3 linked regions of the Anolis sagrei genome follow. The protein of the gene in region 3 interacts with the protein of the main gene of each other region in a biochemical or structural test. Links are inferred from orthologs where the notes say so. Each region holds a gene or a part of one and is shown on either strand. Other genes may lie near its edges.

Region 1 (7,530 bases), on a different chromosome or scaffold from region 3:
CCCCAGCCAATTAATGGGTTACTGTCTAAAAAGGAAAGTACCTGGAGGTTTGAGCGTATCTACAGGCCACACCTTCTAATGTGGAAGCCTTTTGAGATAACTCAGGAGCGTAGGGCAAGACACACATTCAGAGGAACCTTTTCCTTCAGGAGTATTGTTTTGCATATTCCAGAATAACATCCTGGCACTGAAAACCGTCCCTGTGGTTTTGGTGAGGTTTGCTAAAATTATTTCTTCACTGACTGGGCCACGTGATGAGATTCCAGACTAGAATCCACACTAAAATTAGTATGGTTAGCCTTTTGAAGAAAGTAGGTTTTTTTATTCCTCTGTTCCCATCATCAAGAAAGGATTTCAAAGCCAAATCCATTAGAATTCCCTCTCTGCTATTTCACTAAAAGAAATTACTTAGATGCAAAAGTAAGTCAGGGGTTCTCAAGGAATACATTCCTGACTTTCTGCAAATATTGTTACTTGGACTGTATGGTTGTTTCCTAGAGAGCCAAACCAAAGAACACTGTGGGCATAACTAAATGATTTTAATGCAACCTGGTCCTCTATATTTGTGAATGCACTGGAAGGCGAGGATGGGATATGCAACAGACCTAAGGCACCAAGAAGCAAGGACAAATTTCCAAAAGTAGAAGATGACAACCATTATGGGGGGAAAACAATTTCTCCTATGGAGGCGGGTAGCTTCTTTCTCTTGAGCCAGGAGCTTAAGGGACTGGGAAGGTATTTATATACAGTAAGCAGATGGAAATCTGGTTTCCGCTTTGTGGCGGTCCAAGCTTCCTTCTGTTCTGCCCTCTCCCTGCTGGTGCCATTCGGCAAGCTCTGCAGCCTTGTGTGCTTCCATGCCTCCTTCCATCTGTCCCCTTGGCTTCCTCCACTTCCTTGGGTCCTAGGTGAGGGTCCGGCCCAACACTGGAAGACTTGCATTTTGAAGTTTGCGCCAGTCAATGCATCCCTGCATGACTTCACAGCTGCCTCCAACATATTAACAGCAGCAGATCTGCCTTATCTCTTGGAAGCAGAAAAACCTGGACGTTCCACAGATACATTAACCCCACTTGCCTAGTTTCCAACAGACCTCACAACCCCTGAGGATGCTTGGCATAGATGCAGGTGAAACGTCAGGAGAGAATGCTTCAGAAACACAGTCATACAGCCTGTAAAACTCACAACCCAACAGAAAAACAGTTAGCACATGCTAAATCAAAGTAGAATTCTTGAGCAACCTGGTGTTCTAGACCTGTTGCCAACTGATATACAGGGGTGGTGATTTGACTGACTCCCCCCCCCCCACCACCCAAATAAAAGAAACCCACCCCTGTGGAGCCAAGCTGCCATTGAGAAAAGAGAAGCATTCCACCCTTAATGTATTGTTGAAGCATTTAATGGCTGGAATCACTGGGTTATTGTAGGTTTTTCAAGCTGTATGGCCATGTTCTAGAAGCATTCTCTCCTGACATTTCACCTGCATCTATGGCAGGCATCCTCAGAGGACAGGTCACAGGTTCGAATCTGGGGAGAGTGCGGATGAGCTCCCTCTGTCAGCTCTGGCTGCCATGTGGGGACATGAGAGAAGCCTCCCACAAGGATGCTAAAACATCAAAACATCTGGGCATCCCTTGGGCAACGTCCTTGCAGGTGGCTAATTCTCTCACACCAGAAGCAACTTGCAGTTTCTCAAGTCACTCCTGACACACACACACACAAAGAAAATCCTCAGAGGTTGTGAGGTCACTCAACCTCAACCTCCGAGGATGCCTGCCATAGATGCAGGCGAAACGTCAGGAGAGAATGCTTCTAGAACATGGCTATACAGCCCAAAAACCTACAACATCCCATTCCACCTTTAGTTCTCCGTCAGCGAAGATGGCTGTGCCCTTTCCTGTTTTTCCTGGGGAAGTTTCCTTTCCTCGCGGTTCCTCAAGACCGACGTCTGCTTCCCCCCAGCAGCCCCTGGCAAGCCTACATCTCGCAAGGAGGGAGCCTTGGCCAGAAAGGGAGGGGTTCGAGTTGGTGGTTGCATTGGGGGCTTTCAAACGAATTCCTGCGGATCAGGTCAGGGCGGGAGCAAGGAAGGAGGAAGGAAAGAGGAATGCCAGGGAGGAAAGAGCGGCACACGCGTGTTTTTCAAGGCGAGGGCGTGGGAGTGGTGGAAGTGGCCGAGGCAATGCCAGCCTCAAGAAGCCTGGCTGGGCCAAGAAACTCCAGGGCCCACGCTCCCCCTGTTCCCGCGGGGGAAGGGGTGGGGTTGGTGGGGGCTGATCTCCCAAATGGTGGGGGGGGGGGGAGCGAGAGAGAGAGAGAGAGAGAGAGCCAGGGCGCGGAGGGAGGGGATCCGTCCTTTCCTTACCTACATCTGCATTGCAAAACGCCTGTTGCGGGTGGACCGGGGAGCAGCTGCAGGCGTCGGCCAGGCGGTCCATCCTCCCCAGGAGCAGCAGGGCCAGCCAGGCCAGGAGGCTCCGCAGCCCAGCACTCATCTTGGCGGAAGGAAGGCAGGCAGAAGAGGGAGGGAAGGAAGGAAGGAAGAGGAAGGCAGGCAGGGAGGAAAAACGGAGGGAGGGACGGCGAGCTTGAGAGAGAGAGAGAGAGAGCAAACGGCGGGGCTGGAGAGAGAGGGAGAGGGAAAGGGCGCTGCTCAGGGCTTCTGCTGCCTCATCCAGGCACACACTCGCTCCCACTCGTGCTCCCCAAAGTTTGGCCTCTGCTTGGAGTGGAAGGCGCCAAGGAAGGGAGTCCTGCCGGCGGGAGACAGACGAGGAGCCACGCAGAATGTGGGAGCAGAAGCTCCGGCTCCTTCCCAGCCTCTGGTTCTGCTCCTGCTGCTTGCCTGCTTGCTTGCCTGCCTGCCTGCCTTCCTTCTATGGAGGTGTTTTCTTCGGCTAAGCCTGGCTTTTTAATGGGCTCTGGGGATCCGCTGCCCCTCCTCTCCGTGGCACGGGGCCAGAGCGGGCGGCTCGCCTGAGGATCCCGGCAGCGCGGCCTCTCCCTCGCTTTCCCTCCCTCCCTCTCTCTCTCTCTCTTGACTCCTCTCCCTCTCCCTCGCTTTGCCTCTGGCCCGGTTCTGCTGGCTGCTCTGCCGCCCTGCTTGACAGCGATGGCCAGCTATGACTCTTCTTATCATCGGCCAGGCGGAAGGAAGGAAGAGGGAAGGCGACACCTTGGGCTCTGCCACACCGTCGGATGCCTCCAGTCGGATGGACACCACTTGAACTATGCTCTAGAGCCCTGGGAGTTGGTTGGGGTTTTGCCAGGTCGGCAGCCTCCTCTGCCTCCCCAAGCCTCAGCACCTGCACTCTCCGGCAGAGATGGCTGCTAAAGACCTTGTAAAACTTCAACTCCCGGGATCACATAGCGTCGAGCCATGGCAGTTCAAACTCCCAAACGTATCCCCTTCTATGAAGCATCTTCAAAGTTAGGAGGCCCTGCTCTTGATCCCACTTCCTTCACAAGTGTGGTTGCAGGGAATGAAATACAGGGCCTTCTCAGTGGTGGCCCCTTGGCTATGGAACACTCTAGCAAAATCAGATCAGCTCCCTCCCTCCTGACCTTTAGGAAGAAATGTATTCATTTATTTATTTATTTCAAAGTTTTATATACCGAGCTTCTCACCTCATAAGAGGGACTCAGCCCGATTTCCAACCATAAAAACATATACAATCGGTAAAATATCAAAATAAACATTACAATAAAACATTTTAAAAAGCACATATATTTAAAACTACAGTGGTCAGCCGTCATACTAAAATCGAATATACACCGTCTTCCATCCAGATCATTGTCTCATTCTTCGAAAGCCTTTCTCCATAACCACGACTTCACCTGTTGAAAAACATGGCTATGGGACCAAGCCTTGGATTTGTAATGCAGTGCAATAAATGAAGTTGGAAAATGGACAATAATGGCCAGAACAGCTTCTCAAATATGATTCAGATTGTGTGATTTTAATAACTGGCATTAAGTTAAGGCTGCTCTGAGTCCCCTTCGGGGTGAGAAGGGCAGCGTATAAATACAGAAAATAAATAACTGCATTCATTCAGCAGTGTTAATGCACCCATAGCAGAGCATTCAAACCACCCCCCCCCCCAAAAACCCAAGTGTACAAGCACCCTAATAAATGTAACCAATTCAAAGCTCTTTTCAGTACCAGGATGGTGGGGACCCCCCCCCCCCCTTCACTGTGTCTGCATGAGCCTTCAAGTCACTTGTCAACTTACGCCAACTCCATGAATTTCACAGGGTGCCTTTCTTTGAAATGTAATGGTGGACAGGCTAAATCCAGTTGGGAGGGGCCAAATCTAATTCTTCACTAATTTGGACCTTTCCCCAAGGACAGTGCACTTCTCTACTCAGGTTGCAATGAAATGTCTTCCCAGGCTGCATACCAAAACACAGTTCCTTATTCTGCTCTAAATAGCCCCATAGCTCCAATTTCTGATCAGAGATCAAATAAGCCTTGTGATGCACCCAGTCTGTAGCCAGCCATTCCCCATATTGTTATTGAATGCCTTCAAGGTGACCCTGAATTATAGTAACCCTACTCTACGGTTTCCTTGGCATGATTTCTTCAGAGGAGGTTTACCCTCACATCTGTTAGGCTGAGAGAATAAGGCTCTCCCAAATAGTGGGTATGCACTATTCAGGGCTAAGCAGAGATTTGAATCCTAAGTTCACGGAGCACTACCATAGTCCCACACTAAAACCATGGTACCACACTAGTTTAAGAGGTCCATGCTCACTGCTTTAAATCTCTTTGTAATATCAATCAGCAAGCATAAATACTCTGAATATACCAAATCCAGGGTCAGCTCTAGTTAGTGCTTGGGTAGATATCAGGTACTCGAGGCTATATTTCAGAAGAAGTAATGGATGAACCCCACCCCACCCCCACCCCCTTTGTCCCCCTGGCCTAAGAAAAACCCATGAACTTCATGAAGTCACCAGCTATCAACAAGCAACCTGAAGTCACATAGCTAGAACCTAGACTATCACTTTGTCCTACTTCTCATTTAGAGAACCCCTGCCCCTGCCCCCATGAGCAAACATATGGGCCTCATCATGCTAGAGAGAAAAATCGACTTAAAATCCAGTTTCTGCCTCCTGCAGAATTCTGGGGTTTGTAGTTTTGGGAGGAGCTTTTAACAGCCTCACAAAAACCCCAGAAATCATTTTGATGTGATCATCCTGGAGAAAACAGAGGGAAAGTTGTAGACATGCCTTGCAAGTCATGCCAATATCTGCCATACCTTGTCTTTTCTGGGGATGTGGGAAATGGTTAATGGTAGGCTCTGAGTGTCTGGACTATATTCTAGAAAGGGACATAATCACTGAGGCTAAAGACATATCTTTCCAGACCACTGTTTGAATTTGCTTGGTAACTATGAGCGCTGAACAAAATGATTTATTTGTAGAGCTGCGGACCCCTCATTTCATCTCCCTCCTGGGAGACATTGCCAGGTATGAACTGACACCTGTACAAACCTATCAATGACTCATCAAGCCTGCATTCTTCATCTCAAGACTGTTTTGAAATATTTAAGACATAACTAAAACATCTAGTTAATTTTGGATAATACCCTCCACCAAATTGTAAAGCCAAAGCTGTGTTGTCAAAGGCTTTCATCACTGGGTTGCTGTGCATTTTCCGGGATGTATGGCCATGTTCCAGAAGCATTCCCTCCTGACATTTCACCCACATCTATGGCAGACATCCTTGGAGATGGAGGGGTCTGTTGGAAACTAGACAAGGGGGGTTTATATATCTATGGAATGTCAAAAAACAGATGAATTCCAGACAAGAATCAATCAGGGCCAGCTAACACCTCCAACCAAAGGATTCCCCCATGCAGCAATCAGCCAGGCTTTGAAGCTGAAAGGCCATTAAATGCTAATCAAGGTGGCCAACTGCAACATTCACACTTGCCTCAAGCACAGTTCTTTCTCTCACCCCGGACATTCCACAGACGTATAAACCTCACTTGCCTAGTTTCCAACAGACCTCACAACCTCTGAGGATGCCTGCCATAGTTTTGGGTGAAATGTCAGGAGAGAATGCTTCTGGAACATGGTCATACAGCCTGGAAAACTGACAACAACCCAATTCTGTAAAGCCTGAAGGTCTTCACTCCTATGGAATTATAGTTGATCACAAAACAGTTACTGACTGCCTGTGGGTTATGTTCTGGTAGAAAAAGAGACGTCTACATGTGTGCAAAGTCTCTCTCTTGTTATTATTACTTGGCAAGTTTTAAGGTCTGAGTTGTAGTACTTAAAACAGTTTCTGGGATTAAACACCAGCAAAATAAGTTGTGGAAATTATTTTGAGTGCTGCAGTTCAACTGTTAAAAGTTTTATGAGTTCCCACCCTTGTTGTGCCAGATGGAAAGTCATAGCAATAAAAACACTTTTTGGCTGTTGACCACAAGTTAGGAGATGGCCCAAAATTTTGCTCCAATAGGATTTGACTTTTCTCCTAGCCCTGATCAGAGCTGGGTCAAGTTATTTTTGAAATTACAATTCCAGAATGCCCCCCCCCCCCCCAATGGTCTTGCTAGCTGGGAGGGATTTGGGATGTTGTAGTAAAATAAAAATGCCTCTAGCCTGGGTATAGAGGTATCGTAACCTGCAGACCCCAGTATAGTTGATGGAAAGATGCTGAGAAGTGCACAACTTGTCTCTGTATCATCAAGAGACAATTGGCTCACATGTTGCATTTCAGTGTCTTCTTTCATAATCCTAGAGACCTTCGCTAGAGCTCCCTGTCAGACATCACCACCCCCAGCTCCTTCAAGGTCGAGCCAATCACTTTAAGGATAACATCCTTGCCCTTGGTCGGCCTCTCTTCCCTTTTACTTCCATTTTTCCCATTCTCATTATCCTCTCCTAGCTTTCCTGTCTTCTCATTATGTGGCCAAAGTACTTCATTTTGCCTCTAATACCCTTCCCTCCAGTGAGCAACTGGGCTATATTTACTAGAGTATGGATTGGTTTGATCTCCTCGCAGTCCAAGGCACTCTCAGAATTTTCCTCCAACACCACAGTTCAAAAGTGTCTATCTTCCTTTGCTCAGCCTTCCTTATAGTCCAGCTCTCTGCATTTTTCATATGCCCTGTGCTTCATCTCAGCCAGTGCTGCACTTTCCACCCAGAGTCAAATAGCACATTAAGGAGGTGTTCTCTGCAAACTATCTGAAGGGGCAAAATGCATTTTGGGTACTAAATTCTTCTTCTGTTTCTAGAGATCTTGCCACACTGCAGAATTATAGCAGTTTGACACCACTTTAACTGCCGTGACCCAATGTTATAGAATGCCGAGATTTGTAGGAGTTGCTGATGGGCTCCAAGAGTTCTGTTATGTTTCCTGTTTTTTAAAGTGTTTCAAAAGAATTGCCACATATATATATCCTGATTGTTATCGGTTATTCCCAAAAACCACTGTAGGCCTCATCTTGATTGAAACGATTTGTACTAGGCTCTTGATTATCATTTTCTGTTTGCATTCCCAATATGCCTCATA
Region 2 (7,930 bases), on a different chromosome or scaffold from region 3:
AAGGTTACATCAAAATCCATAATTTTGGCCCCCAAACATTCCCGCCACATATTTATGCGGTCTTCTTACACATGAGTATGTATAAGTAAATAATATATTTTATATTCATCCTGTTGGGTTTTCTTGTAGGTTTGTATGTCACAGATATGTTATTGTAACATTAAGGATTGATCATTTCATCAAACTACATTATAACAAACAATATATTTTACAATAAGGGAACTGGAACTTATTTAGAGGAAGATTGCTACTGCTAGTAGTTTTTAATAGAGGCCATACCTTTCTTTATTTTGCCCTTTATTTTTGTGGATAATCTGGGGAAGCCATGAGTCAAAGGTCATAAAAGCACCCTTGTGGCGACACATGTTCCTAGTTCTATGTTTTCCCTACCCTTGCTTCATATCACTAGAAGTAGTCTGAATGTATTCAATTTCAAAACAACTCATCATTTGATTAAATTATTTGTTGCAAATGATGTACTGCTGTTGTAGTTTTATTGGCAGCTGTATTTTCACTGAACCAAGGTTGAATTAGCAATTGTTATCTTAAGGTCAAACTAGATCTTAAAGGGATGTGTATTCCATGTAATTAACTTATATTTTTCATCCACTAATGGGTTTTCTTAAAAAATACTTGTCTCCGCAATCAGATTTGCAAATTAACTCTACAGTAAGCAATCACAAAACAGCATGTTAAATGAAAAAAATGAAAATGAGGGAAAGCATGCAGTATGAAAAATATGTGTTTTCCACCACTTGAGAGACCATGTATTCTAATTAAATGCAATATTATCCTGTTTGACCATTAGTTTTTTAAATAGTTGCACATTTGGTTCATGTAAGTATGCTTTACTGTTCTCTGTTGACAGGGGTAAGTTTTAGAATGGATTCTGGCAGGAACAGGAGAGATTATCATGGAAATTGTATCCATGTAACCTAATCCTTGAAATAAAGCTACTACATCTGCATTGGATTAAATAATAATGATGTTGCATAGCATGATGCCGGGGTCATTTATTTAATCCTTGCTATATTACTTGCCTAGCTACATCATAAGTGAAAAACAGCATAGCACTTATAATAACCTCTGAGTTTAGAGTTTAATACATAAAAAGTCAACAAATAAATGCTAAAAATCCCACCATTGCTTGTAATAATTACTAGAGGGATCCTCCCTTCCCCTGATAATGAAACACTATGATCTCACCATCTGGCAACACAACATGTGACTGCATTGTAAGTTGACTACAGCAATGGGATTTAATGTAAATATATGTCCACGTATACTGGGGTGAGGATGGGGAAAATTACAGCAGAATTTTCTTTTAAAATGTTAAATTTTAAATCTATGCTGGATCTTAGGGTCTCATCACACTAGAGAAAAATCCACTTAAAATAAAGTTTCTACTTCCTGCAGAATTCTGGGATTTGTAGTTTAGGGAGGAGTCTTTAAACGACAAACCCCAGGATTCTGCAGGAGGCAGACACCAGTTTTTTTTCCTCTAGTGTTATGTTTCTAAAACATTTCTGTTTTTCTTTTGACAACTTCAAAACTACAGGCCATTTGGTGCCTTGTAAGTCTTTTTACAGGATAGATGTGGGAAAGTGGAAGACATATGGATAAGATTATTTTTGTGCAATTAAACTCCCACTGTCAAATTGAAGTTTAACATAAATGTCTTTACATGAGAACACTCTTCATAAACTGCATAAACTCTAGCCCTCATTTATTAAATTGGACAAAGTTAAATCAGAATTGTTCATTCAGTGGTACATCAACTAAACACATTTTCCTTTAAAACCACTGAAAATCAGAAATAAGGCCTCTTTGAGAATGTCACACCCTGACCTTCTAAATATTTCTGTGAAGTTTGGCATAGCTCATGACAGATTGTATTTCTGAATAATCACTCTAAATTCTAGAAAGCATTATTGCATTTTCTTTGAAGAAAACTTGAAAAAGCACTGAAATATTTACAATATTTATCTTTGATAATGTTAAATAGTTCGTTTTTCAAGCATTGAAAGAGTTAATGAGATCCTAAAATTACCTGAAAAGGAAACAGCAAAAAGTATAAAAGGACTAAAAGTACCTGCTAACAACAATAGGAATTTTAAAACAAAAGATATAAAATAACTATTGAATGGCTCATGAGTGAACTTACATAGTACATATGGTACTATTCGGATACAAATATTTGACAACATTTTTACAGGCATCTGCTCAAAAGTTCAATGCAAGCAATGAAGTTCTGGCAACTGCACCCATTTCTCTTAAAGAATCATCTTTCTATACTTTTAGTTTCAAAAGTTGCATAGTGAAGAAATCCATTCCACAAAACAACAGAATCAAACACATGCAAAAATATTATTTTTCAAATCCAGTTTCATCACTGAACAGATGTGTTAATTGCAAATATTGCATTTAGGGCTTTTGAGGAGTAGAAAATTACTTTTGGAGGATCTTGCTTTCTTACTCAAGACTTGGCTATTTATAATGAATGACCCATTCTAGAAGCCAACATGTTCAGCAAAGAAGTTCAGCAAAACATGTGGAGTGTTTAAAAACAAACTGCAAAGGCAAATGCACAAAAGAACTGTGTCCAGTTTGCAAATTGGCAGAGTTTTGACATGTTCCCATTACCTCTTTCCTCTGCTGCTTGATTGTTAGCATTAAAGCATGCAAGAACACTTACCTTTCTGACGTGAAGCGGTTGCCTTAATTCCCACAGCAGATCCAGTGAACGACTGGGTCGACCAATATATGCTATAAACAGTGTCAGAAGGTAACTGACTGCCAGATCCTCTGTGATACAAGGGCTGGGGGGGTGATCCTAGTCACGCTGTTTTCTGAAGCTGCTATGTCATCATAGTGGTGTGGTATGTAAAACTGCTGCTGTCTAATGAAATGCAGGTGGACCAAGGGAATGGTCAAGGACAACCCAGCTGTTTCTCCCTGTGAAACGGGAGAAAGATAACCCCTCCAAGAAACCAGAATAAATTCAGACTGTCTACCATAGTACAAACAACAGAAAGTTAAAGAAAGGAAATAGTTTTAAATAATGCACAAATTGCAAACAGATCTTGCATCCCCCCCCCCCCTCCAAACCACTTAATAGCTTTCAGGAAAGTGAACAAATAATTCTTGAACCTCAGTGTAGCCACAACTCTCAAGCCAACTGACTCACTGGCCATCTCATGTTTTTCTTTGTGTTAAGTTATGTACATAATAACTTAATAAAAGCCTCTGCAATGGAAAGTAACCTCAGATGGTGAACCACATACATTTTTTTCTTTTCACCATATTATATTGTAAAAATAATATCCCACACAGACAAGGAGAGAACAAATATGAAGTTTATGTTAAAACATGCCAATAATGGTACCTTTTCTTTTATAATTTAACATAAATGTTTGTACCACAAAGACGATGAATAGAAAAAATCCCACACATTCCCAAGAAAGAAATAAGCAGCTGGTAACTTTCTTGAAAGTACACTAGCACTGGTTGCTTAAAGGACTTTCAAATCTGGAACCAATCAACCAAATGTTGTCTGTTTCTCATTTCATGGATGCTCTTCAAGAATGCATCCTAAAGCATGGAAAAGAATGCTGTTGAAACACACTACTGCCAGAAATCATGTAATAAAAATAATAAGAAAAACATTATTGGCAAACTTGTAAGCATTCATTCTAGTTATACTATGTCTACAAAATGATCCCTGTGTCATGGGATCCAAAGTTCTTTTAAAAACCTATCTTCACACTTGTTAAGTGTTAGAATCATAGACACCTTAAAGGGCCAGACTCAAAAGTGGCTTCAAAACAGAATTTATTAAAACCAAAGAAAAAGGACGCAGAGATACTTAAATGCAGTGCCACTGGTCAAAACTCAGGAAACAAACCAGACCAGGTCCAAAAGGTTAACAGAAATATAATCCAGATGAATTGGATGCAAAAGGAACGAATCAGACTAAGCGCACTGAGGCAAAACCAAAAGGCACAGTACACAAATGGTTAACAAAAGGAGGGGCCACAGGAAGAGAAGCGTAGTCAGCGGGGGTCAAAGCGGGAGGAATCTGAAACAGCACTGCTCCAGTGTCCGCAGAAGCAGCGTCTTTAGCCAAACCGGTCCAGGAAGGGAGAAGTCCACATCCACGAGAAGACAATCCAGGTCAATAACACACAAACGATCAGGAGATCCAAACTGCAGATCCAACGCTGAACACGAAACAGGCAGCAACAAGTCTACAAGAATCTTTTCCATTACACAGCACCCAACACATGAACGCTCACCAACATCTTGCCTTCTTCAAGGACCCATCACCCCTGAACCCACTTTTATTTACAAATCAGCATCAGAAGACGAACTGACCATTGCCCTATCATTATCCTCCGCAGCTGCTCCCAGCTCTTCACGTGAAGTCCCTTGTCTTTCCCTCCAAGTCCTCCATCTCCTGTCAAGACTTAGATCCCCCCAAGACTCCGTTGGGTCCCCTGATTGCCAGTCTTCACCCCCAGGGAACCCCATAAAGGTATCACTAGTTGTTGGATCCTCACAAATAGCTTGCACTTCTCTTATCTTAGTCCAAGCCATGGTGTCTCCTTCTTCTCCTTCACTCATTGACTCATTATCCCCAGAGAATCCCTCAAACAACTACTCATCTGTAGGTGCTGTAAATATGTCCCGGATCCTCCTTCTCTGCTGCTCATCATCAGATTCCTGCTCCCGAGGAACCCCTCCCCCCCCCTCTGGACCCATCATCCCCAAAGAATCTGAAATGACTCCTTATCTGTAGGTGCTGCAAATATGTCCCGGATCCTCCTCCTCTGCTGCTCATCATCAGATTCCTGCTCCCGAGGAACCCTTTCCCCCCCTCTGGCACCCATACTACTGTTTGCAACGTTACTCACAGGCTCTACTACAACACTAAGTAACAGGGAGGAAGTGAAAAGAGGAGTCAGAGTGGTTAGGGTAATCTAGAAAGACCCCAACCCAGAAAATGTCCTTGATATGAGAAATTGGAAGTGGGAGAGGAAAGCCCTCTTTGAATTGGATCTGGCAAAATTGGACCACCATCACTCCTATGTTGTTGAGCCCCCACACGAATGATCACTCAATTGTGCTTGCTTTAATGGCACTTGTGTTGTAACCACCTTCTGTTGAAATATAATTATGCCAATGTCCTTTTGTTTTAATAAACTCTGTTTTGAAGCCACTTTTGAGTCTGGCCCTTTAAGGTGTCTGTGATTCCAACAGTATTATTATGTAAGTTTACACTGATCCTAAAATGCAATTTCAAATAAGGATTTGGCCCTATCTATACTGCATTATATGGCAGTGTAGATGGGGCCAACAAGTGAAAAACATCAGAGTCGATTACTTCCTCATTCGGACTCTGCTTACATAAGAAAAAATGAAAGTAAGGCCCTGAAATGCACCCACCTAGTGCTGCTTGCTCTTTCACAATATTACAACCTGGGAAGAACCTTACTGGAACTAAGGAGCCATTCTTTTGCTCAGAGTTGCACTGACTGCTTTTGCACAATTGTAACCATTCAAACTATTCTTCCTAGAATATCTGGGACCCCATCTATATTGATATATAATGCAGTTTGAAACTGCACTATATGGGCAGTGTAGTTACATAAGGCAGTTCAATGCAATCTATGCTGGCCTTATATGGCTTTATATGACAGTATAGATGGGGTCTATGATAGCCGTTAATACTACATCTATCTGTCTGTCTGTCTGTCTGTCTGTCTGTCTGTCTGTCTATCTATCTATCTATCTATCTATCTATCTATCTATCTAATAAAAGTCAGTGTTTGTATGTATGTATGCGGCGGACATAGGTGTATGTGGCAGCTTTCTGACTGGCTTCCACTGTGGTACAATTTGCATATGGTCTCTGATTGGCCAGCCAAAACATTCCAGCATTCTCAAGTGGCTGAGAGGGGAAAGGAAATTTGCATATGGTTTCTGATTGGCCAGCATCAACAGGAGCCCCTGGTGGCGCAGAGGGTTAAACCCCTGTGCTGGCAGGACTGAAGACCGACAGGTCGCAGGTTCAAATTCGGGGAGAGCGCCAGCACCTCATGTGGGGACATGAGAGAAGCCTCCCACAAGGATGGTAAAAGATCAAAACATCCTGGCGTCTCCTGGCCAAGGTCCTTGCAGACAGCCAATTCTCTCACACCAGAAACAACTTGCAGTTTCTCAAGTTGCTCCTGACACAACAAAACAAAACAAAACAAAACATTTTAACATTCTCAAGTGGATGAGAAGAGAAAGGAAAGGGCCCGAGGGATTTGCAGTACCTTCACTCACTCTACATCCCACTGCAGTTTGGAGGAGGATGGACCATGGATGATGGGACTTGCAGTACCATCACTCACTTTCTGAGACCGCTGTGATCTTCATCCAATGACTAATCAAGAGCAAACTTGGCACATAGACCTCTCATGACCCACTTTACGCCCTGGTGTGGTTTGGCCGAGGATGGACCATGGATGATGGGACTTGCAGTACCTTCGCTCCATTCCTGAGACCACTGCAAACCTCATCCAATTACCGATAAAGACCAAACTTGGCACACTGAGTCTCCATGACGCACTCTACATCCTGCTGCAGTTTGGAGGAGGATGCACCATGGACGATGGGACTTGCAATACCTGCACTCCATTCCTGAGACCATTACAACTGCCAACAATGCTGGATCAGGATCACAATTCACACAGAGAGCCCGCATGACCCACTCTACATCCTGGTACGGTTAGGAAGAATTTGGAGATGGATGATGGGACTTGCAGTAACTTCACACACTTCCTGAGACCACTGAAACCCTTGCCAATGACTGATCAAGACCAAACTTTATTTATTTTTATTTATTTACATTATTTCTATCCCGCCCATTTCAGCCTGAAGGCGACTCAGGGCGGTACCAGAATTCCCATGACCCACTCTACATTCTAGTGCACTTTCGAGGAGACAGACCATGGATAATGGGACTTCGAGTACCTCCACTCCCTTCCCAAGACTGCTGCAACCCTCATCTAATGACCGATCAAGACCAAACTTGGCACACAGAGTCCCCATGACCCACTCTACATCCCGGTGCTGTTTGGAGGAGGACGGATGATGGATGTTGGGACTTGCAGTATCTTCACTCACTTCCTGAAACCACAGCGACACTCATACAAAAACCAATAAAGACCAAACTTGGCACAGAGAGCCCCCATGGCCAACTCAACATTCTGGTGAGGTTTGGGGGAGAACAGACTATGGATGATGGGACTTCAACTACCTCCACTCACTTCCCAAGACTACTTCAACCCTCATCTAATGACCGATCAAGACCAAACTTGGCACACAAAGCCCCCATGACCCACTCTCCATCCTGGTGCAGTTTGGAGGAGGATGGACCGCAGATGATGGGACTCATAGTACCTTCACTAACTTCCTGAGACCACTGCGAGCCATATACATAACTTATAAAGACCAACCTTGATACACAATTCCTTTATCAAATAACCCGGGCAGCGCTGGTTCCCCAAGCAAGTATATAAATAATAATACATAAATTATTGTATTAAGTGAAGCCAAATCCTGAATCTATTTCTAAAAAACTTCTTTTATGAACTCTTTTTCACTTTTACAGCCAGAAGGTCACTCTAATTCATGTATCGGTTCCATGAAGCTCTATCTGCCTCCAATAGTTCATTTCTAATAACAAATCTCCAGCTTTTCCTTTGTGTGTGTGTGTGTGTGTGTGTGTTACATCCATGCTGTGCTCGTACTTCAAATGGAAAGTATTCAGACACATCAAGCAATTTGTGGTAATCCTGGATTTGTTTCTAATTCCTAAAAAGGAAGTGGCAGCTAAGGGTATTTGTGAAGCAGTAGTCCTGGTACAAGTTTAACTTTTTTT
Region 3 (7,168 bases):
TGCAACATTCACACTTGCCTCAAGCAGGCAAGAGTTCTTTCTCCCACCCTGGACATTATTCCACGGATGTATAAACCTCATTTGCCTAGATCCCAACAAACCTCACAAACTCTGAGGATGCTTGCCATAGATGTGGGCGAAACATCAGGAGAGAATGCTTCTGGAACATGGCCATACAGCCCGGAAAATTCACAGCAATGCAGTGATTCCAACCATGAAAGCCTTCACACCAATATGAAAATGGATTAAGTTAGGAAAGAAGGAGGGAAGAAAGACTACATCTACAGACAGATATACCATCAAGATCTTGAGAAGATAGAATATAGGAAGTAAGGATGAGAGGGTTCAATTTGGAGGAAAATATGAGATATGGAAAGTGACGAGACTAAAGCAGGCATGAGCAAACTTTGGCCCTCCAGGTGTTTTGGACGCGAATTACCACAATTCCTAACAGCCAGGAGCTGAAGTCTCCTGGCTGTTAGGAATTGTGGGAATTGGAGTCCAAACTTCACCTGGAGGGCTGAAGTTTGCCCATGTCTGGACTAAAGAGAAATAAAAAGCAAAAGGTTAGGATAAGATGGCACCTGATGGATCAACAATAGTGTTGTCAAAGTCTTTCATGACTGGAATCACTGGGTTGCTGAAAGTTTTCCAGGCTGTATAGCCATGTTCCAGAAGCATTCTCTCCTGATGTTTCACCCACATCTATGGCAGGCATCCTCAGAGGTTGCTGAGGTCTGCTGGAAACTAGGCAAGTAAGGTTTATATATCTGTAGAAGGTCCTGAGTGGGAGTAAAATACTCTTTTGTCTGCTGGAGGTATGTGTGAATGTTTCAATTAATCACCTTGATTTGCATTGAAAAGCCTTACAGCTTCAAAGCCTGGCTGATTCCTGCCTGGAGAAATCCTTTGTTGAGAGGCATTAGCTGGTCCTGATTGTCTCATGTCTTTTCACTCACAGAGGAGTCCCCGGTAGTGCAACTGATTAAACCTTTGTGCCGGCAGGACTGTTGACCAAATGGTTAGCGGTTCGAATCTGAGGAGCGGGGTGAGCTCCCACATGTCAACTCCAGCTTCTCATGTGGGGACATGAGAGAAGCCTCCTACAGGATAGTAAAATATCCAGGCAATGTCCCCTGGGAGGTACTAACTGGCCCTGATTGTCTCATGTCTTTTCACTTGCCGAGGAGTCCCGGGTGCTGCAATGGGTTAAACTCTTGTGCCGGCAGGACTGCTGACTGAAAAGTTGGCGGTTCGAATCTGGAGAGTGGGGTGAGCTCCTGCCTGTCAGCTCCAGCTTCTCATGTGGGGACATGAGAGAAGCCTCCCTTGGGATGGTAAAATATCTGCGCTATGTCCCCTGGGTAACGTCCTTGCAGACAGCCAATTCTCTGACAGCAGAAACGAATTGTAGTTTCTCAAGTTGCTCCAGAGTTTTGAATCTGAGGAGCGAGGTGAGCTCCCACCTGTAAGCTCCAGCTTCTCATGTGGGGACATGACAGAAGCCTCCCTTAGGATGGTAAAATATCTGGGCTATGTCCCCTGGGTAACGTCCTTGCAGACAGCCAATTCTCTGACAGCAGAAACGAATTGTAGTTTCTCAAGTTGCCCCAGAGTTTTGAATCTGAGGAGCGAGGTGAGCTCCCACCTGTAAGCTCCAGCTTCTCATGTGGGGACATGACAGAAGCCTCCCTTAGGATGGTAAAATATCTGGGCTATGTCCCCTGGGTAACGTCCTTGCAGACAGCCAATTCTCTGACAGCAGAAACGAATTGTAGTTTCTCAAGTTGCTCCAGAGTTTCAAATCTGAGGAGCGAGTTGAACTCCCATCTGTTAGCTCCAGCTTCTCATGCAGGGACATGAGAGAAGCCTCTCATAGGACAGTAAAATATCCGGGCAATGTCTCCTGGGCAACGTCCTTGCAGACGGCCAATTCTCTCACACCAGAAGCGACTTGTTGTTATCTCAAGTTGCTCCAGACATGAAAAAAAATCTAGTTTCCAACAGACCTCAACAACTTTGCCACAGAGGTGGGCGAAATGTCAGGAGAGAATGCTTCTGGAAGATGGCCATACAGTTTGGAAAACTCACAGCAACACAGATTCAAAAAAATGGTTTGATCCATTAGAGAAGGAAAAGTTGCCAAGTTTGCAGCAACTGGATTAAATGCAGGGAAGAAGGCAGCAAAGCATAGAAAGGAGCCAGCTCTGCACCAGGCAAGTGGAGACAAGCAAAGCAAAGAAAGGAACTCAATTTGAGGGAGAGAGAAAGAGAGAGGCATGGAAAAAGGGAAGGAGAAAGCCCTGCTGGCAGAGGACAAGGCAATGGAAATGAAGGAAAGGGAGGGAGATTGGAAGAAAAGGGAGGAAAACACAGAGAGAGCTAGAGAGGAGAAGAAAGAAGGGAATGGAAAAGTTTTGGAGTGGAGGAGTGAGAGGAGAAGGGGTGCCAAAGTCTCACATTTCTTTGCTGGGAGTGAAGAAGGGAAGGATCCCCTGGAAGAAGTCCCACCAGATGAGGGATGCAAGGGATGCAAGGGAGCAACAGGTCCTGGGAGCAAGAGGAGAAAGAGGCAAAGAGGGGGGAAGGAAATCTCGCGTGGGAATGGCTGGTTGGGGGCACAGAGCCCGGACTCACCTCGGGGCTGAAGCGGGAGGAAGAGGAGGAGGAGGAGAAGCCTTGGGGCAAGAGGGCGCCCAGGGCCAGGGCCAGGGGCAAGAGGCGCAGGAGGGCCGGCCAAAGAGGCATGCTTCGGGGGTCTCTCTCTTTCTTTCTTTCTCTCTCTCTTTCTTTCTTTGGGGGCGAGAGCCACGCGAGGAGGGGGCGCCTGCGGTGGGTCGTCTGCCTTCCCTGGCCCAGCCTGGCCCTTCCTGGCTCTCGGGCGCTTCTCCTTCTCCCTCGCGAAGTGGAGACGTGGTGGGGCGCGGGGTCTGGCTCCAATTAGAGAGAAGGTTCTGCGGGGAGAGGAAGGAGCCCAAAGCCCAAGAAGGAGGGGAGGAAGGGCCAAGCTCCTCCTGGAAAACGGAAGGAGGAGGAGGAGGGGATAGAGGAGGGGGCAAGGAAGGGGGAGAGGCAGAAAGGAGGAGAGAGAGGGAGAGGAGGAAAGGAAGGAGACAAGATGGGACGAAGGAAAGACGGGGGAAGAAAGAAGAAAGGGAAGAAAAGACAAGGAAGGAAAGAAAGAGGAAAGCAGGACAGAAGGAAAGAGGGAGGGAAAGAAAAGAGAAGGACAGGAAGGAAGATAGAAGGAAAGACATAAAATAGAAAGAAAGGGGAAGGAAGGAATTAAAATAGAACGATAGAAAGAAAATAGAAAGAGGGGAGGGAGGAAAAAAGAAAGAAAAAGAAGGAGGGAGGGAGGAAGAAGAAGATAGAAAGAAAGAAAGCCAAAGAAGGGAGGAAGGAGAAATGAAAGTAGGATGGAAACAAAATAGAAGGACAGGAAAGAAGGAGAGAAAAGGAAGGAGACAAGATGGGACGAAGGAAAGAGGGAGGGCGGAAGAAAGAAGAAAGGGAAGAAAAGACAAGGAAGGGAAGAAGGAGGAAAGCAAGACAGAAGGAAAGAGGGGGAGAGAGAAAATAGAAGGACAGGAAGGAAGATAGAAGGAAAGACATAAAATGGAAAGAAAGGGGAAGGAAGAAAGAAAAATAGAATGATAGAAAGAAAGAAGACAAGATGGGACGAAGGAAAGAGGGCGGAAGAAAGAAGAAAACGAAGAAAAGACAAGGAAGGGAAGAAGAAAACAAGACAGAAGGAAAAAGGGAGAGAGAGAAAATAGGACAGGAAGGATGATAGAAGGAAAGACAAGGAAGGAAAGAAATTATAGAAAGAAAGGGGAAGGAAGATAGAACGAAAGAAAGAAAATAGAAAGAGGGGGGAAGGAAAAAAGAAAGAAAAAGAAGGAGGGAGGAAGAAGAAGATAGAAAGAAAGACAAAGAAGGGAGGAAGGAGAAAAGAAAGAAGGATGGAAAGAAAATAGAAGGACAGGAAAGAAGGAGAGAAAAGGAAGGAGACAAGATGGGACGAAGGAAAGAGGGGGGAAGAAAGAAGAAAGGGAAGAAAAGACAAGGAAGGGAAGGAGGAGGAAAGCAAGACAGAAGGAAAGAGGGAGAGAGAGAAAATAGGACAGGAAAGAAGATAGAAGGAAAGACAAGGAAGGAAAGAAATAATAGAAAGAAAGGGGAAGGAAGGAAGGAAGGAAGATAGATAGAAAGAAAGAAAATAGAAAAAGGGGGAAGGAAAAAGAAAGAAAGACAAAGAAGGGAGAGGAAAGAAAGAAGGGAGGGAGGAAGAAGATAGAAGGAAAGACAAAGAAAGGAGGAAGGAGAAAAGAAAGAAGGGTGGAAACAAAATAGAAGGACAGGAAAGAAGACAGAAGGAAAGACAAGGGAGGAAGGAGGAAAGAAATAAAGAAAATAGAAAGAAGGGGAAGGAAGAAGATAGAAGAAAGACAAGGGAGGGAGGAAAGAAGGAAGGAAGGAAGAAGATCAAAGGAAAGACAAAGAAGGGAGGAAGGTGAAAAGAAAGAAGGAAGGATGGATGGAAACAAAATAGAAGGACAGGAAAGAAGGAAGATGGAAGGAAAGACAACGGAGGAAGGAGAAAAGGAAATAAATAAAAGAGAAAGAAGGGGAATGGAAGATAGAAGGAAAGACAAGGAAGGGAGGATGGAAAGAAAATAGAAGGATAAGGGAAGGAAAGAAGATAGAAGGAAAGACAAGGAAGGAAGGAAGAAAATAGAAAGGAGGGAAGGAAGAAGATAGAAAGTAAAAGAAGGAAGGGAGGAAAGAAAGAAGGAAGGACAGAGGAAGGAGGAAAGACAGAAGGGAGGAGGGAACTAAAATAGAAAAAAATAGGAAGGGGAGAAGATAGACGGAAAGACAAAGAAGGGAGGAAGGAGGAAAGGAAGAAGGAAGAAAATATGGAAAAATAAAGAAGGGAGGAAGGAGGAAACAAGGAAGGAAGAAGAAAGAAAGACAAAGGAGGAAAGACAGAAGGAAGGAAAGAGGAAGGAGAAAAGAAATTAAGAAAGAAGGAGAAACAAAAGGAAGGTTGGAAACAGAATGAAGGAGAGGGAGGAAGGAAGATAGGAAGAGAAAGAAGGGGAGGAGGAAGAGAGAAGGAGAGAAAGAATAAAGCCAGGAAGGAAGGAAATAAGGAAGGGAGGAGAGAGGCGGAAAAGCAAGCAAGCATAAAGGAAGGGAGGGAGGGGAGTATGCCTTGACCCCACATGCAACATTTTTCAGAGATGATACACAGATGGTATTTGACATCAGAAAAGCTCCAAGGGCACATCCACACTGTCGAATTAATGCAGTTTGACAGCACTTTAACTGCTATAGCCCCAGGCTATGGAATCCTACAAGTTGTAACTTGGGGAGGCACCAGCACACTCTTTGGTAAAGGAGGCTGGATGCTGTAGGATAATGGGAATTGTAGTTTATATGGTCTTTGGCACTGACCATCAAAGAGAGATGGTGCCGAAACTACAAGTCTCAGACAGAAATTCGGTTGCTTCACTTTTGTACAGCATCTTTGCCTTCTAGGTTTGCCAGAATCTTAACATCTCTGAGAAACTATGTCACTAAATGTATACATAGTTGATTAGCTAGATATATATATATATATATATATATATATATATATATATATGCCTTTGAGCCACCTGTAGACTTATGGCAACCCTATGAGTTTTGTAAGGTTTTCTTGGGCTAGGAATACTTCTTGCCAGTTCCTTCCTTTGAAATATGGCCTCCAGCACCTGGCGTTCATTGGCAGATCTCCCATCCAAATACAAAGTCGAGCTGACCCTGCTTCGCTTCCAAGATCAGACAGGATCTGGTGCCTTTAGGGTATTTAGGTCCAGAAACCTAATGACATACAGTCAATTGAAATCGTCTAATATCCGCACAGTACACTAAGCCTAAAACCTAAAGCCCCACTAAACTCATTAGAGACTTCCTTCCTGATAAGGCTGTTTAAATTGGATTTCAGCCTAAACAGTCCTGGTTTCGCTTCCAAAGGGACCTCATTGCTTTGATTTTTGGCAAGGTTTTTGCCATTAGCTGGCCAAGGTTGGATGCTTGCCAAGGCCTGAGCAGGTGAAGAGCATTAGGGATGCAGCTACACTGTAGAATTAATGCAGTTTGACGCCGCTTTAACAACAATGCCTCAATGTTATGGTATTCTGAAAGCTGTAATTTTCCAAAGTCAATAAGTTTTTTGACCAAAGAGTGTTGGTGCCTCACTAAACTACAACTTCCATGATTCCATTGACCCATGGCAGGTAAAGTGGTATCAAACTGTACTAATTCTACATGATGACAAGATGGCAACAGTCTTGGACAGCAATGGCTCCCAAAGTGACCCATTTAAGGTGGAATCAGGTTCTAACAGGGATGTGTTATTGCCCCAACCTTATTTTTCATCTTCATTGCTATGATACTTCATATTGTTGATGGGAAGCTTCCCACTGTAGTGAAAATCATCTATTGGACAGATGGCAAGCTGTTTAACCTCAGCAGACTGAAAGCCAAAACCAAGGTTACAACAACATCTGTTATAGAACTCCAATATGCTGATGACAACGTCATCTGTGCACATTCAGAGGAAAACCTACAAGCTCCTCTAAACACCTTTGCAGAAGCATACGAGAAGCTCGGCCTGTCATTGAACATCGAGAAAAACAGAGTGCTCTTCCAGCAGTCATCACCCATTCCCTCTTCAATGCCAGAAATACAGCTTAATGGTGTCACATTAGAAAATGTTGACCATTTCCACTACCTTGGCAGCTACCTCTGCAGAAAAGTCAACATTGACAATGAAATACAACACCGCCTGAGCTCTGCGAGAGCAGCATTTTTCTGAATGAAGCAGAGTGTTTGAGGACCGGGACATCCGTAGAGATACCAAGGTGCTTGTTTATAAAGCTATTGTCCTCCCAACCATGCTATATGCCTGCAAGACGTAGACACTCTACAGATATCACATGCAACTCCTGGAATGATTCCATCAGCGCTGCCTCCAAAAAATCCTGCAAATCTCTTGAGAAGACAAGCAGACAAATGTCAGCATGCTGGAAGAAGCAAAGACCACCAGCATTGAAGCGATGATACTCCGCCATCAACTCTGCTGGCCCGGCCACATTGTCCAACCACCATCTCCCAA

The links.
Region 1: the proteins of MMP14 (region 3) and TIMP2 form a complex in vitro, tested with the Homo sapiens proteins (2 studies listed by BioGRID). The link is inferred for Anolis sagrei from reciprocal best matches to the Homo sapiens genes MMP14 and TIMP2.
Region 2: the proteins of MMP14 (region 3) and LUM interact in a biophysical measurement, tested with the Homo sapiens proteins (2 studies listed by BioGRID and IntAct, with this or other methods). The link is inferred for Anolis sagrei from reciprocal best matches to the Homo sapiens genes MMP14 and LUM.

Annotation. Positions count from the first base shown.
Region 1 is NC_090022.1:128,960,125-128,967,654, forward strand, and holds the start of TIMP2 (metalloproteinase inhibitor 2), read right to left. Parts: upstream 3,016-7,530; 5' UTR 2,496-3,015; coding exon 2,366-2,495; intron 1-2,365. UniProt on the Homo sapiens protein: Complexes with metalloproteinases (such as collagenases) and irreversibly inactivates them by binding to their catalytic zinc cofactor. Known to act on MMP-1, MMP-2, MMP-3, MMP-7, MMP-8, MMP-9, MMP-10, MMP-13, MMP-14, MMP-15, MMP-16 and MMP-19.
Region 2 is NC_090025.1:153,688,366-153,696,295, forward strand, and holds the start of LUM (lumican), read right to left. Parts: upstream 3,016-7,930; 5' UTR 2,696-3,015; intron 1-2,695.
Region 3 is NC_090026.1:9,641,066-9,648,233, reverse strand, and holds the start of MMP14 (matrix metalloproteinase-14), read right to left. Parts: upstream 3,012-7,168; 5' UTR 2,749-3,011; coding exon 2,638-2,748; intron 1-2,637.